Linked DNA regions of Saccharomyces cerevisiae S288C. The protein of the gene in region 3 binds, or shares a complex with, the protein of the main gene of each other region. Each region holds a gene or a part of one and is shown on either strand. Other genes may lie near its edges.

Region 1 (4,138 bases), on a different chromosome or scaffold from region 3:
GTTTAGAGCTAGCTATAATGATAAAATAGTTCGTTCATATACTCCGGTGGGATCATTGCAGAAATTGAGAAAGAAAGAACGTTGAATATGACATACGTAGGTAAACGAAAATTTATAGACTAACCAGGTTCAAGGCATTCTTTGATCCATTGACCTCGTTGATACCTCTACTATTTTCGATCATTACTACTAATAGAATAACAGCAATAAAATTTACATAGATGATCATATTATATGTTAATGGTGAAGAAATTCACCTCCGACCGTGGTATGTCAATGTGAGATATCACAAAAGTTACTGAATTTTGATCCGGATTTCACTGCCACTATTTACTTAGATTCAGATTTGAGAGTGAAAAATGGGTGAATTTTGAGATAATTGTTGGGATTCCGTCTGTGTTGAAGGCAATAATATTAGGTATACAGGATATACTAGAAGATTTCCTCGAGATTATAGAAATGCCCAAAAGGAAGTCGATAGTGCTACATAATTATGTAACTTCATCCTCCTTCCTTTTATACTTTGTCGTTCGCTACCCTATTACATTATTAATTCTTGCATTTCAGCTTCCTTTAAATTTGATAGCTGTTTCCCATCGTACTTTTTGTCAACTAATTCTGTCCTATATGATAATTGAAGAGTGGGTGAATTTTGAGATAATTGTTGGGATTCCATTTTTAATAAGGCAATAATATTAGGTATGTAGAATGTACTAGAAGTTCTCCTCGAGGATTTAGGAATCCATAAAAGGGAATCTGCAATTCTACACAATTCTATAAATATTATTATCATCATTTTATATGTTAATATTCATTGATCCTATTACATTATCAATCCTTGCGTTTCAGCTTCCACTAATTTAGATGACTATTTCTCATCATTTGCGTCATCTTCTAACACCGTATATGATAATATACTAGTAACGTAAATACTAGTTAGTAGATGATAGTTGATCTTTATTCCAACAATAATACATATTAATACTATATACATAAGATCAAAGATGAAACTTGCTTCTTATTCCAGCAAGATTCTATATGCCATGATATACGACGAATAATATTTTGTGAATCAAGTTGATACTCCAAGGTTATGTTCTAATCTATGTTCTGTGGGTTCTTTATTTTTTGAATAACAACAAATAGTAAGCGCAAGTGGTTTAGTGGTAAAATCCAACGTTGCCATCGTTGGGCCCCCGGTTCGATTCCGGGCTTGCGCAGCTTTATTTTTTTAATCCATTCATTTCATGAGCAACTGTCAACTAATTCCAATACGAAGAGCCTAATTCTTTGATAGTTCCTTTTCTTTTCTAGTTTAGATTTCAGAAAGCGTAAACAACAATTTTAATCATCGTATTCAAATTTACATCGAACACGTTCATGATTAGCATGGAGTGTAATCATCATCAAAAAAAAAAAAAAAGAGGAGTGATAATGGCAATTAAGACAATTTTTTATATAACAGTAAGAATTGATATTGAAACCAAATTGTGCTTAACAAAAAAAACTAGGTCGAATGGATATTTTTCTTAATCCAACCGTACCGCTGTGTACAAATGAGGCAAAAGAGGTAAAATGTTTGAGAAAAGATTCCTTTCTTCAGCAATCCTTTTCTTGCATTAAATACATGTTCCTTGAGAAAACTTTTGATGTTTAATGTGTAAATATCTCATTAATTTCAGAATTTTCAGTGTTTGTTGTTTGTAAAATCAGTCATTTCAAAGATCCGCTTGGGGCGACAACTTAGTCATCATGTTAATGAGATACCAACAAAAAACTGTACTTGTAAGTTGTCTTTATCATCTCTAAAGGAACAATAATGCAGAAGAGAAAAAAGTAAAGAAAGTAATACACAAACATCCCCCTCTTGGCTTTATAAGCATACGCAAACAGTATAGTTCGAAAAAAAAAGTATTAGTACGATCTATTTTTGTTTGTCAGGAACTCCTGTTCCTTAACACATTCTATAGAAATATCTATATGTTACCATCCACGTACAGGTTGAAGCGCTTGGTATTTAAGATGAATAAGTATATTCTACGGTTAAATTTGAATAGAACCTCTGTTCTTTAAATACTCAAAAAAAATTTTCCATGCAAAAAAAAGACTACGCGAGGTGGAAAGTTAGGGCTTGAACCTATAATTGAAAGAGAAAGGGAACGTATGGGAAACTGAAAGCGAGTTCTAACTAAGCAAAAGAGAACGTTGTAAACTAGTCCAGAAATACGCAGAGAAGATAATTTAAGTGTTTATGAAAGATGTTGGTGCTAGGGTCTCTTAGATCGGCGCTGTCGTGCAGTTCCACAGCATCGCTTATTAGTAAGAGAAACCCTTGTTATCCATACGGTATACTCTGTCGAACTCTATCTCAGAGTGTTAAATTGTGGCAAGAGAATACTTCAAAAGATGACTCCAGTTTGAACATTACTCCACGATTACTAAAGATTATACCTAACGATACTGATATCGTGACTCTTGAGAAGCAGGATGAATTGATTAAAAGACGTCGTAAACTTTCGAAAGAAGTGACCCAGATGAAGAGGCTAAAACCCGTCTCACCTGGTTTGAGATGGTACCGTTCCCCCATTTATCCATATTTGTACAAAGGTCGTCCGGTTAGAGCCCTAACTGTTGTTCGAAAGAAGCACGGTGGTAGAAATAATTCAGGAAAAATCACTGTCCGTCACCAAGGTGGTGGCCATAGAAATAGAACGAGGCTGATAGACTTTAACAGATGGGAAGGTGGTGCACAAACGGTGCAAAGGATTGAGTACGATCCGGGTAGATCCTCTCATATCGCCCTATTGAAGCATAATACTACCGGCGAATTGTCTTATATTATTGCTTGTGATGGGTTACGCCCAGGCGATGTGGTCGAATCCTTCAGAAGAGGTATTCCTCAAACTTTACTGAATGAAATGGGCGGGAAAGTAGACCCTGCTATCTTGAGTGTTAAGACTACCCAAAGAGGCAACTGTCTACCTATTTCCATGATCCCCATAGGTACTATTATTCACAACGTTGGCATAACACCCGTTGGACCTGGAAAATTTTGTCGCTCTGCTGGTACATATGCCAGAGTCCTTGCGAAATTACCTGAAAAAAAGAAAGCTATTGTTAGATTACAAAGCGGTGAACATCGTTATGTGTCTTTAGAGGCTGTCGCTACCATTGGCGTGGTCTCCAATATTGACCATCAAAACAGATCTCTTGGTAAAGCCGGCAGATCAAGATGGTTAGGGATAAGACCCACTGTTAGAGGTGTTGCCATGAATAAATGTGACCATCCTCACGGTGGTGGCCGTGGTAAATCCAAGTCTAATAAATTATCAATGTCTCCATGGGGACAACTGGCAAAGGGGTACAAGACTAGAAGGGGTAAAAATCAAAATAGAATGAAAGTAAAAGACAGACCAAGAGGCAAAGATGCAAGATTATAAATAGGCTAATTTTAGTAGAAAAGAAGCAACATAGGGACCTTTTCTTCGTTGTTCTGGTTACATTTATCTGTACTATATAATTTTGCACAGCCTGTAGACAATGCCGCTTGTCCACAATCATGTAAATATAAATATTGAAACTTTTCACTTGTTTAAAATTTATGGCAAACCACTTTAATACTTTTTTCTTTTTAGGTACAATATTTACATTTTGATACTGTCCATCAGATTTTAGTCACTAACATCTAAGTTAAGGAAGTAAGAGATTCAGACTCCGGTAAGGAAAAAAAAAAAAAAGAAAAAAAAAAAACAAACTCTGAAATGAAAGCATTAGAAGAAAAAGTTATATCTCATGTACAATTTGAGCAAATTTGGACCGATATGATTTGAGGTTGTATGATAAGAAGTGCTATTTATGATTGTTTAAAAAGATGTTATTTTATTAAACAATTATACAAAATATCCTTTTTTTTAATAATGGCTTACATATTTTTGAAAAGGGTCTTGTTCTGCCTGAAACTTCAGAATATAACATCGTCTTCTTGATCAGCAACCAATGTTTCACCTTGAGGTTCCTCATCAGCAGCTACTTCTGAAGCATCTTGTTCTGCTCTATCTCTCTTCAATTTCATCTCAGCATCCAATTTTGCAGTCTCATTTTGCTTCTTTTCTTGGACCTTTTTCAATCTATAAAATTC
Region 2 (4,216 bases), on a different chromosome or scaffold from region 3:
TAATTCATCCTAACCAAGGCGAGTTGATATCTTGTGATAGAGATGGTAATATAAGAATTTGGGACTTAGGAGAAAATCAGTGTACCCATCAATTGACACCTGAGGACGATACCTCTCTCCAGTCTTTATCTATGGCAAGTGATGGTTCGATGTTAGCGGCAGCAAATACTAAAGGTAATTGTTACGTATGGGAAATGCCAAATCATACTGACGCATCCCATCTAAAACCGGTAACAAAATTCAGAGCGCACTCCACATATATAACTAGAATTCTACTATCATCTGATGTAAAACATTTGGCAACATGTTCAGCGGATCACACTGCTCGTGTGTGGTCGATTGATGATGATTTTAAGCTAGAAACGACATTGGATGGCCACCAAAGGTGGGTTTGGGATTGCGCATTTAGTGCTGACAGTGCGTATCTAGTAACGGCATCGTCCGATCATTACGTGAGATTATGGGATTTATCAACTAGAGAAATTGTCAGACAGTACGGTGGACACCACAAGGGAGCTGTATGTGTCGCATTAAACGATGTATAGTTTACAATTTATCAACTACCAAGCTTGAAGGACCGAAGTGACAAAAAACATTATGATTTTCAGTGTTTGCTTATCCGCCTTTTTGTAAATATAGATTTTACTATCCTGTGCATTTTAGTTAATTGATTGTTCACAAAATGAAAGCAATCGCGATGCATATCATCAATGAAAGGAAGACGAGAATGTACAGTATAAACATATTCCCTTGCATGTAGCACTAAATTTTAAGTTTCGTGTAGACGAAAGGTTTAGCTACTTGCGCGACAAAATAGTAATATTTACAGGCATTCTTAAACATTTTATATGTGTACATACTGTGCGTAAGGAAAGAAAATCAAAGCTTGCTCAAAAAAGCCCGCCTACTTCTAGCAATGACTTCAACTTTATTTTTGGTGTAATCAAAACGTCTAGACACAATTGACTTCTTCCCGCTTTTGGTTTCAACCGTACTATCTGTTTCGGGGAAGACCGACTTTAAGTATTTCCTACGCAAATGTACTTCTTCAGATAAAGTCAAAAAATTACAAGCGTCCTTGAAAAGCGCCTTAATATAATTCTTGTCTTTTTTGGTTTCTAAGTGTTGGGATTTTTCTAGGTCCTCTAATAGTTTTGCCTTCAAAGCTTGTTTTTCTTGTTCCGAAATATACTGGTGTAGCTCTAGCTTGTTATTGAAAGATGTAGATGAGTTCAAAAGATCACTACACTCATCAATCTTGGATAGACTCTCCGACAATTTCTCATTCGTCCAGCTTTCTCTCCTTGCCTTCAAACGCTCTTCTTCTTTTAAATAATATCTACTATTGAACCTTGCATCTTCTATGGGGTATCCATTCTTCAGGGAAGCCCTTACACGAATTAAGTATGACGTTGCCAATTCGATGTCTTTTATATCTAACTTAAGTTCATCCCGAAGAACCTTACTCAACTTGTCTTGTAACTCCTTTCTTTTAGATTCCCTGACCTCTAACTGCTTCAAAATATTAGGTTTTGCGAGATAGTCTTTTCTAGAAATAGAATTTTCTTCCTTATATGCTGCCCTTTTATTTGTTAACTCAAAACGGCCAAACCTCCTTACGGTAGGCTCAAAATGAGGAGATGGCAGTTTCAAATCACGCCTCAAGGCAACACCAATGAATTTTCTTTTAGGATGAAAAGGATCAAGATAGTAACGAACAACACCAGGTTCTAAGGCGAATATGGAATGATCTTTCCCTATACCAACGTTTTCTCCAGGATAAAACTTTGTTCCTCTTTGCCTCATAATAATTTCACCTGTGGAAACATCCTGGCCTTCATATTTTTTTGGTCCTAACCTTCTTCCTGCAGAATCCTTCATACTTGTTCTCGAGCCCGCAGCCCTTTTGGTGGCATTACGCACTTGAAGGAACACACCAGACACATGTTTTTGGAATGAAAAACTAGAAGTATCTAGTAAAATAGGATTCCACATATTCTCACCTTAGGTTAAGCTTGAAATATTATGACCACCCAAACTGGCGAGTTTTATTTTTACAATGAGCCAACTTCATTCTTCAGTGAACTATCTTGAATGAGTCTCCAAAGAAAGAGCTTTAAAATTCAATAGCGGAACGTCAGATATCGAAACACCCAGTCATAACAGCCAAATTTGCATAATTGGTATAAAAACAGTGTGTATAACATTACAGAGAAGCCGTTGTGTGAAAATCTTTTTAGTACCTATTCAACCAAACAATTGAACTTGAACACCAAACTCTAGCCATCCTTATCCTCTTCTGGTCACTACATATACCTCAATTTACGTCTTTCCTTGGGTCGTTTCAAATGACTCTCTTTGTTTAGCGAGGGAAATGAAAAAGTAGAGTACTGGCTGAAAAATTTCATAATTATGTTTGCTCATGAGTTCGAAAACAGTTTGAATGAGCAGATAGAACGCCAAATATTAAGTTAACAGGATATGTCTGATCAAGAACGAGGTTCAGAAAACGTATGTTTCATTGATAAGGGAGGTGAAGAAAAGTTTGTAAAATGAGACTTTATGAGGTCATTGGAATTAAATAGACATCAACGAATGGTGAGTCACCATTTAATGCTGCCTTCAAAACGCTTGCTTCAATGTGATTCCACTGGTTAAAGGGGGTTTTTTGAATGCATTGCTAATGTTTATCTACTGGCTATGAAAGTGAGAATATCAATTATAAATAAAACCCTGATTTTCTACCTGCCATGCTATAATGTACAGTTTATTCCAACTTTGAAACGCAATGACTTATTGGTCTCTCTCATTATGAAATTTAGTTACTTTTACTAATGTTATTCATTGTTGTAGAATAATCGAAGTAGATCGAGGTCGAGATCACCTGTTCGTCGTCGGATGAGTGATGATCATGGTTATGAAAGAGACAACCATTTGTCCCGGAGGTCAGGTAATTATAACGGTAGGCGTAAGTTCGCAGATACGTACAGAGGAAGCAGAGATAGAGGAGAATATAGAGGAGGTAGAGAAAGGTCTGATTACAGAGAAAGAGAAAGGTTCAATAACAGAGATAATCCTAGATCTAGAGACCGTTACGATGATAGGCGCAGAGGAAGAGATGTGACTGGTCGTTATGGGAACAGACGTGATGACTATCCTAGAAGCTTTAGGAGTAGACACAATACACGTGATGACAGTAGGAGAGGCGGTTTTGGTAGTAGTGGAGCAAGAGGTGATTACGGTCCTTTGTTGGCACGTGAATTGGATAGTACATACGAAGAAAAGGTCAATAGAAACTATTCCAATAGTATATTCGTGGGTAATTTAACATATGACAGCACCCCCGAAGATCTCACTGAGTTTTTTTCACAGATAGGAAAAGTAGTCCGCGCGGATATAATTACATCAAGAGGGCACCACAGAGGTATGGGTACAGTAGAGTTCACTAATTCGGATGATGTTGACAGGGCCATCCGCCAGTACGATGGGGCCTTCTTCATGGATCGTAAAATCTTCGTCAGGCAAGATAATCCACCACCGTCAAACAATATCAAGGAAAGGAAAGCACTCGATAGAGGAGAGCTTAGACATAACCGAAAAACACATGAAGTTATTGTAAAAAATTTACCTGCTTCCGTTAATTGGCAGGCTTTGAAAGACATATTCAAGGAATGTGGGAATGTCGCACACGCTGATGTGGAATTGGATGGCGATGGAGTATCCACTGGATCTGGTACGGTGTCCTTTTATGATATTAAAGATCTGCATAGAGCGATTGAGAAATACAACGGTTATAGTATAGAGGGTAACGTCTTGGATGTCAAGTCTAAGGAAAGCGTACATAACCACAGTGATGGAGACGATGTTGATATCCCAATGGATGATTCTCCCGTTAACGAAGAAGCTCGAAAATTTACCGAAAACGTTGTCGGTGGAGGTGAAAGAAATAGACTCATATATTGCAGTAATTTGCCATTTTCAACTGCAAAAAGTGATCTTTACGACCTTTTCGAGACAATCGGAAAGGTTAACAATGCTGAATTAAGGTATGATTCCAAAGGGGCACCAACTGGAATAGCTGTCGTTGAATACGATAACGTCGATGATGCAGATGTTTGTATTGAAAGATTGAATAATTATAACTATGGGGGTTGTGATTTGGATATATCGTACGCTAAACGCCTCTAGAACTACTCTCGATCTATATACTTTCTCA
Region 3 (3,199 bases):
ACGTTTTGGGTGGCAAAAAACTTCCCTTAAACAAACTAAAAATGGCTCGTGTTCATGCACAAGTCAACCAGGGGCTCAGGAAAAAAAGCTAAACACCAATCCTATATATAACGTAAAGGTACTGTGCTTAATCGGTAAACGGAAGACTATTAAGCAAATGTATCTCTTAAGACCTTACGCATCCATCAGTTGCCACCCTCCTACTCTTCATCGGAGGGTTTCCGGTTCCCATGACAAAGACGGCGCTTTGGCGGGGCCCAAATTGTTACCCGCACCCAGAAAAAGAAAAGAGTAACCTAGGTCAAATCAACCAAACAGCTAGGGCTGGTTACTATTTTTGAAAAGATGCAACAGGGTAAGATCAGCAAAATTTAGGGCCGAACAAAGCCCCGATCTTCGTATATGGTACCTCGTTCCCGTACTTATTTTCAATTTTTGGCGTCGTTTACTGCCGTTTCCGATAAATACAAAAAAGTTTTCGAGAAGCGAGAGTAAGTGAGGAGCAGACAATGTATTATTCACTGTAAACTGCTCCACTTCGTCTCAATGGTACACTTCATTTTTATCGCCTTACGAAGCATGCGTTTTATGCGAAGATTGGTGAGAAACCTCCAATACTTGCTGTTGCCGATAACTTCTTCATTGCTTTTTATATAGTTCGGGTGTTTTCTCCTATCCTCTGCTGCTCTCTTTTTCTTTCCATTCGTCTTTGTAATTTATAAGCTGTTAATTTTCATTCAAGTTTCCCTTATCTGTTTTACTTTCGATTTAAGTTTTACATAATTTAAAAAAACAAGAATAAAATAATAATATAGTAGGCAGCATAAGATGAGTGAAACAGAATTGAGAAAAAGACAGGCCCAATTCACTAGGGAGTTACATGGTGATGATATTGGTAAAAAGACAGGTTTGAGTGCATTGATGTCGAAGAACAACTCTGCCCAAAAGGAAGCCGTTCAGAAGTACTTGAGAAATTGGGATGGTAGAACCGATAAAGATGCCGAAGAACGTCGTCTTGAGGATTATAATGAAGCCACACATTCCTACTATAACGTCGTTACAGATTTCTATGAATATGGTTGGGGTTCCTCTTTCCATTTCAGCAGATTTTATAAAGGTGAGAGTTTCGCTGCCTCGATAGCAAGACATGAACATTATTTAGCTTACAAGGCTGGTATTCAAAGAGGCGATTTAGTTCTCGACGTTGGTTGTGGTGTTGGGGGCCCAGCAAGAGAGATTGCAAGATTTACCGGTTGTAACGTCATCGGTCTAAACAATAACGATTACCAAATTGCCAAGGCAAAATATTACGCTAAAAAATACAATTTGAGTGACCAAATGGACTTTGTAAAGGGTGATTTCATGAAAATGGATTTCGAAGAAAACACTTTCGACAAAGTTTATGCAATTGAGGCCACATGTCACGCTCCAAAATTAGAAGGTGTATACAGCGAAATCTACAAGGTTTTGAAACCGGGTGGTACCTTTGCTGTTTACGAATGGGTAATGACTGATAAATATGACGAAAACAATCCTGAACATAGAAAGATCGCTTATGAAATTGAACTAGGTGATGGTATCCCAAAGATGTTCCATGTCGACGTGGCTAGGAAAGCATTGAAGAACTGTGGTTTCGAAGTCCTCGTTAGCGAAGACCTGGCGGACAATGATGATGAAATCCCTTGGTATTACCCATTAACTGGTGAGTGGAAGTACGTTCAAAACTTAGCTAATTTGGCCACATTTTTCAGAACTTCTTACTTGGGTAGACAATTTACTACAGCAATGGTTACTGTAATGGAAAAATTAGGTCTAGCCCCAGAAGGTTCCAAGGAAGTTACTGCTGCTCTAGAAAATGCTGCGGTTGGTTTAGTTGCCGGTGGTAAGTCCAAGTTATTCACTCCAATGATGCTTTTCGTCGCTAGGAAGCCAGAAAACGCCGAAACCCCCTCCCAAACTTCCCAAGAAGCAACTCAATAAATTCACTAGATCAATAAGATTCAAATAAAGCGCACGATATATACCTATTTTCCTATATATGCAGATAAAAAGATAGCACGTTCATTGCTAGCAGGCCTTACAAACAGACTGTCCGATGCCTTTACTACCCCACAATTTATCCCACTTGTGATTTTCAAGTTCGGCTTTTTTTTTTTTCATCATGTCGTGGCAAACGACCAGTATTTTCTATCAGAATAAGAAAAAACTATAATTCACTGCATACAAACGTATTGACTGCTCCCCTACAGCGGAAGATAGTAAGAATACAACATCGTAACTGTTTCCATATTTATGTGCCGATATGGTAAAAGTGAAATCTAAGAATAGTGTTATAAAGCTATTGTCTACAGCGGCAAGTGGATACTCTCGTTACATCTCGATTAAGAAAGGTGCACCTTTGGTTACTCAGGTCAGATACGATCCTGTGGTGAAACGGCATGTGCTTTTCAAAGAAGCAAAGAAAAGGAAAGTGGCAGAAAGAAAGCCATTGGATTTCTTGCGTACAGCCAAGTGAAGAAATATGAATAAGCACGAGCCCCGGCATGTAAGCCCATCGAATACGCAGACGTTACGCATTTTTTTTCATTTATCCTGTAAATAAGTAATGGATACATACATTTTGTATACGATTCAAACGGAAAGAAATTCCGCTAACGAAAAAGAAGTTATATAAAATTACATTACAATAATCAACTCCCTCATAATAAAGTTGATATTTCATTTAGATATGCAAAAACACATATGCATACATACATACATACGTATATGTAAAAGTTAGAATCAAGGAAAACTCGTGACATACAAATGCAAGCATAAATGAAAAAAAAAGATCGAGATTCAGTATTTCATCGAAACATCGAAATCTTCATAACTATTCTTATTAACGTGGTAATATTAAAGTCTTTTTTATTGATTTCTTCTTGGGTGATATTGGTTCTCCTTTTGGTGATTAATGACCTCCCCATGTACTGTTACCACCATAGTTTGACTTATTTCCTTGGTTGTTCCAAGCAGACCTATTTCCATCGTCTTGGTTACCCCATGCAGAAGCTCCGCCATCTCTTGTACTTTTATTATTGTTATTTCCTCCCCAGGTGGAAGCCCCGCCGTAGGCTGACCTATCACCGGTACCACCCCAAGTAGACATGGCACCATTAGATTCACCACCCGACGCCCAAGTGGATGCACCGCCCCAACT
Region 4 (3,441 bases), on a different chromosome or scaffold from region 3:
TTGCTTGGAGGGGAGAGGATTTGGATATGATGTTGCTCTGCGTAAAGCCTTCTTATTGTAGTCATCTATGTAATTATACGGCGCCCGGTCTTTACTTTTCAGTATATCTTTGTTCGAGCCACGATAAGGTGTGAGGTCATTGTCTGAATCATCTAGTAAAGAATCCATAGCCCATTGACTGTCTGATGAACTTGTCGTTCCATTTGAACTGTCACATGACGAAACAGATGAACTTCTTGAACGTGGACGCCGTATGCCATGAAAAGTATGAGAAGCAGATCTTTTGTATTCTGGTAAACTGTTAACAATTTCCTGTTCTTCCCCAGATATAGAGCGATGTCTGGTAGGACTATTACTAGCACCACTTCCTGTCTGTCTAAATGGATGTGACAGGCCCGGGGTGCAACACTTCAATGTATAACTACGCTGGCGTATTGGAGAATTTTTTGGATCTAAAATTTGTGCGGATACGGTTGATCGTCTTGGTGGCTCAGAGCTTCTCTTGGGTGAGGTAGAAGACGATCGATAAGGAATTCGGGTGACATTAATAGGACTTGAATCTCTTGAACGAGGCGGCCTGAAAAGGTTTTTAAAGGACTCAGAAAATGACCTTACTCTTCTTGTCACAGGTTGTTGCCGCTTCTTCTCCTCCTGCATTACCATTGATGCTGTCAATGTTTTTGAGTCCATCATGCAATTAAACTAGCTAGTTGAAGTGAAAATGAAATTTCCTTATTTTCCACAAGAAATACGCGGAGGGCAAAAAAAGGGACCCAAGGGCTGACAATATTCAGCACAATCCTACTTATTGTACTCTAAATTATATACTTATATGCCCCATAAGTGAGTTTTGAATTTACATATTTCCATGAAGGGCAATGTTTTTTGATATATACATGAACAAACTTATCGAGAGAAAGCTTATATAATACTTTCTTGCGGTCCAACTCTTATGATCTCATTTTCAGGAAGAGGAACGTGCTCTATTTTGTCAAGTAAGTCTTTCATTATATCTTCATGCATTTTATTACGCATATCAATAGTCTCTACAACGGAGCCTTCATGAGATAAAATCTCCAGTTTGCATGGAACGCTTTTTTGCTTGTCTTCGTTCTTTATCCTTATCACGTCAAACTTCATTCTTGGATTATAGAACTGCAAAGTGGGTAGGTAGTTATGCCAAAAAACTCTGGCACCCATATGTCCATTGTGGTTTTTCGTTTGAAAAGTCAATCTAAGACCTGAGTATTTTTTAGGATCGACTAGAATCTGCGGTAGTCTGGTAGTGGCGCTAATTTTATTCAAAAATTTTAACTGTTGTGCAACCTTAGACATCTTCTTATTGTAGCAGGCTCACTTATGTTATACTGTTCTTCTATTAATGAGTTTTATGGCCGATTCTTACAGATATCCTGTTTTCCCTGGGTGAAAAGTCCTAGATCACTTTGAACGTCCCAGTCTTCTGAGGACGCAAATGTAGTCACAATATGGCGTATATGAATGCTCCTTTATTTATCTGTATACACCTCTATTGAATAGACGTACGTAGATATATACATGTACATATATGCATGTGTCACTTTTTTATCATGGCCCTGTTAGACTCACCAAGAATCTATAACCAGGTTTGTTTGTGCTTTTTCTTGTTCTTGTTTTTACTTTTATTGATTTTTTTTTTTTTTCAATTACAATTATCCCACTGAACCTCCTTAAAATTCTTTCATTAAATCCATATATGGATCCTCCCCTTGAATTCCATAGTTGAATTCCTCTTCAGGGTATCTGTCAAATTGAGAAGTGTCACCTTGGCCCTGTTGGATTGGTGGTTCGTACGGCGTTTCTATGTATCTTGCTAACAATTTCTCCCATATCACTTCGTTAAACCACGGATGGTTCTTGACATCTTCACTTCCATTTTGTAAGTTACCCAACCTTTCACTTAAGTCTCTGGTAATTAGCTTCTTCAATAAGTCCTGCGCGTCTGGATGGAAAAATGGTGGGAACTTCAATTCGGCGTTCAGTATATTTTCGTAAGTTTTCATGGTGTTCGAATTGTAAAATGGAGTGTATCCGGCAAGCATTTCATAGATTAGCACACCAAAACTCCACCAATCCACTGATTTATTATACGGTTTTGTACTGACCACTTCCGGCGCTATGTAATCTGGTGTGCCACATAATGTGTATGTGACATCGGGAACGTATTTTGCGAAGCCAAAGTCGGTTATCTTGATATGGCCGTTTTTATCTAGAAGGATATTTTCTGGTTTCAAGTCTCTATATATTATATCCTTACTGTGCAAATATTCCAACGCTAAGCATACCTCTGCGGCATAAAATTTGGCTACTGGGTTGGGAAATCTTTGAGATTTACGTAGTAAAGAAAATAATTCACCACCTTCAATGTAGTCCATTACCATGAAAACTTGCTGAGAATCTTGGAACGTTCCCCACATTCGAATGATGAATGGATGTGAAACAATTGAAAGCATTCGGCGTTCGTCATTGGTGTGTTCAACCTGCTTCAGCTTCACTATAGTGTGCTTTTTCAATGTCTTCAAAGCGTAAAACCTCCCATTGTGATTGGAACGAATTAGGTGAACTCTCCCAAATGAGCCAGTTCCCAAAGTTCTTAAAATCTGAAAGTCACTTAGGGAATACTTTCCTGAGGTATCTCTATATTGTAGCATTGGTTTTTTAACCAAACAAATACCTGCAGACGCTTCTTCTTTCAACTTTCCGCTGTTTCTTCCATTTATCTCCACGGGTGTGTTGGAAGAACATTCCTCATGCACCGAATGTGCGTTTACAGGAATGTCTTGTCCAACGTTATCTGGAGTTGTTTCTGTCTTGGCAGTAATGCTTAATTTCCTGATTTCATTGTTGTTCATCGGATCAACATACATTTTGTGCAGGCTCGCTCTTTCCTTGTACAACCACCGATATACAATATGATTAATGTATTATTCAATAATATACGTGAAACTTTCTTATTGCTTAAAGAGTGATCGCCTATAAATTTTCTCCGACGACTGCACAAAGTGTCTCGTATGTCCACTCGAGTTTCTTACCGATAGAAGTAATAAAGCAGACAAAACTTTTAAGATCAGCTGGTAAAAAGTGTCTTTTCTTTCCATATTCTCATTGAACACAACTTTATTTTTCAATGGCATCGAAGAAATCCCGTAGCTGAAGCAACGGAAAAAAAATACCGGAAACTGCATAATGAGGCTATTCACTAAAAAGAAAGTGGTTCACCAGTATGCGTCGGAAACGTCATATAAATCTATATATGTATATGTACATATATATATATATATATATATATTAGTGAGTATTTTAATGTATATCAAGTTTTGATAAAGATTGCAACTTGGCTTGAAATAAACGCATTTTTGCGCACCAGAGAGTATCTGAAACGTTGACGCAATTTTGCAAAAA

The links.
Region 1: MRPL39 (region 3) and RML2 share a complex: the UniProt entries of both Saccharomyces cerevisiae proteins name them as parts of the mitochondrial large ribosomal subunit.
Region 2: MRPL39 (region 3) and MRP7 share a complex: the UniProt entries of both Saccharomyces cerevisiae proteins name them as parts of the mitochondrial large ribosomal subunit.
Region 4: MRPL39 (region 3) and MRP49 share a complex: the UniProt entries of both Saccharomyces cerevisiae proteins name them as parts of the mitochondrial large ribosomal subunit.

The regions. Positions count from the first base shown.
Region 1 is NC_001137.3:58,972-63,109, reverse strand, and holds RML2 (mitochondrial 54S ribosomal protein uL2m RML2), read left to right. Parts: upstream 1-2,258; coding exon 2,259-3,440; downstream 3,441-4,138. Other genes in the region: VMA8 (H(+)-transporting V1 sector ATPase subunit D), read right to left, coding at 3,962-4,138. UniProt on the Saccharomyces cerevisiae protein: Component of the mitochondrial ribosome (mitoribosome), a dedicated translation machinery responsible for the synthesis of mitochondrial genome-encoded proteins, including at least some of the essential transmembrane subunits of the mitochondrial respiratory chain.
Region 2 is NC_001146.8:620,434-624,649, forward strand, and holds MRP7 (mitochondrial 54S ribosomal protein bL27m MRP7), read right to left. Parts: upstream 1,996-4,216; coding exon 880-1,995; downstream 1-879. Other genes in the region: TOR complex subunit LST8, read left to right, coding at 1-545; HRB1 (mRNA-binding protein), read left to right, coding at 2,482-2,511, 2,854-4,188. UniProt on the Saccharomyces cerevisiae protein: Component of the mitochondrial ribosome (mitoribosome), a dedicated translation machinery responsible for the synthesis of mitochondrial genome-encoded proteins, including at least some of the essential transmembrane subunits of the mitochondrial respiratory chain.
Region 3 is NC_001145.3:250,620-253,818, reverse strand, and holds MRPL39 (mitochondrial 54S ribosomal protein bL33m MRPL39), read left to right. Parts: upstream 1-2,302; coding exon 2,303-2,515; downstream 2,516-3,199. Other genes in the region: MIN4 (Min4p), read left to right, coding at 547-657; ERG6 (sterol 24-C-methyltransferase), read left to right, coding at 829-1,980; transcription elongation factor SPT5, read right to left, coding at 2,951-3,199. UniProt on the Saccharomyces cerevisiae protein: Component of the mitochondrial ribosome (mitoribosome), a dedicated translation machinery responsible for the synthesis of mitochondrial genome-encoded proteins, including at least some of the essential transmembrane subunits of the mitochondrial respiratory chain.
Region 4 is NC_001143.9:132,800-136,240, forward strand, and holds MRP49 (mitochondrial 54S ribosomal protein mL61 MRP49), read right to left. Parts: upstream 1,336-3,441; coding exon 922-1,335; downstream 1-921. Other genes in the region: putative serine/threonine protein kinase KKQ8, read right to left, coding at 1-663; cAMP-dependent protein kinase catalytic subunit TPK3, read right to left, coding at 1,710-2,906. UniProt on the Saccharomyces cerevisiae protein: Component of the mitochondrial ribosome (mitoribosome), a dedicated translation machinery responsible for the synthesis of mitochondrial genome-encoded proteins, including at least some of the essential transmembrane subunits of the mitochondrial respiratory chain.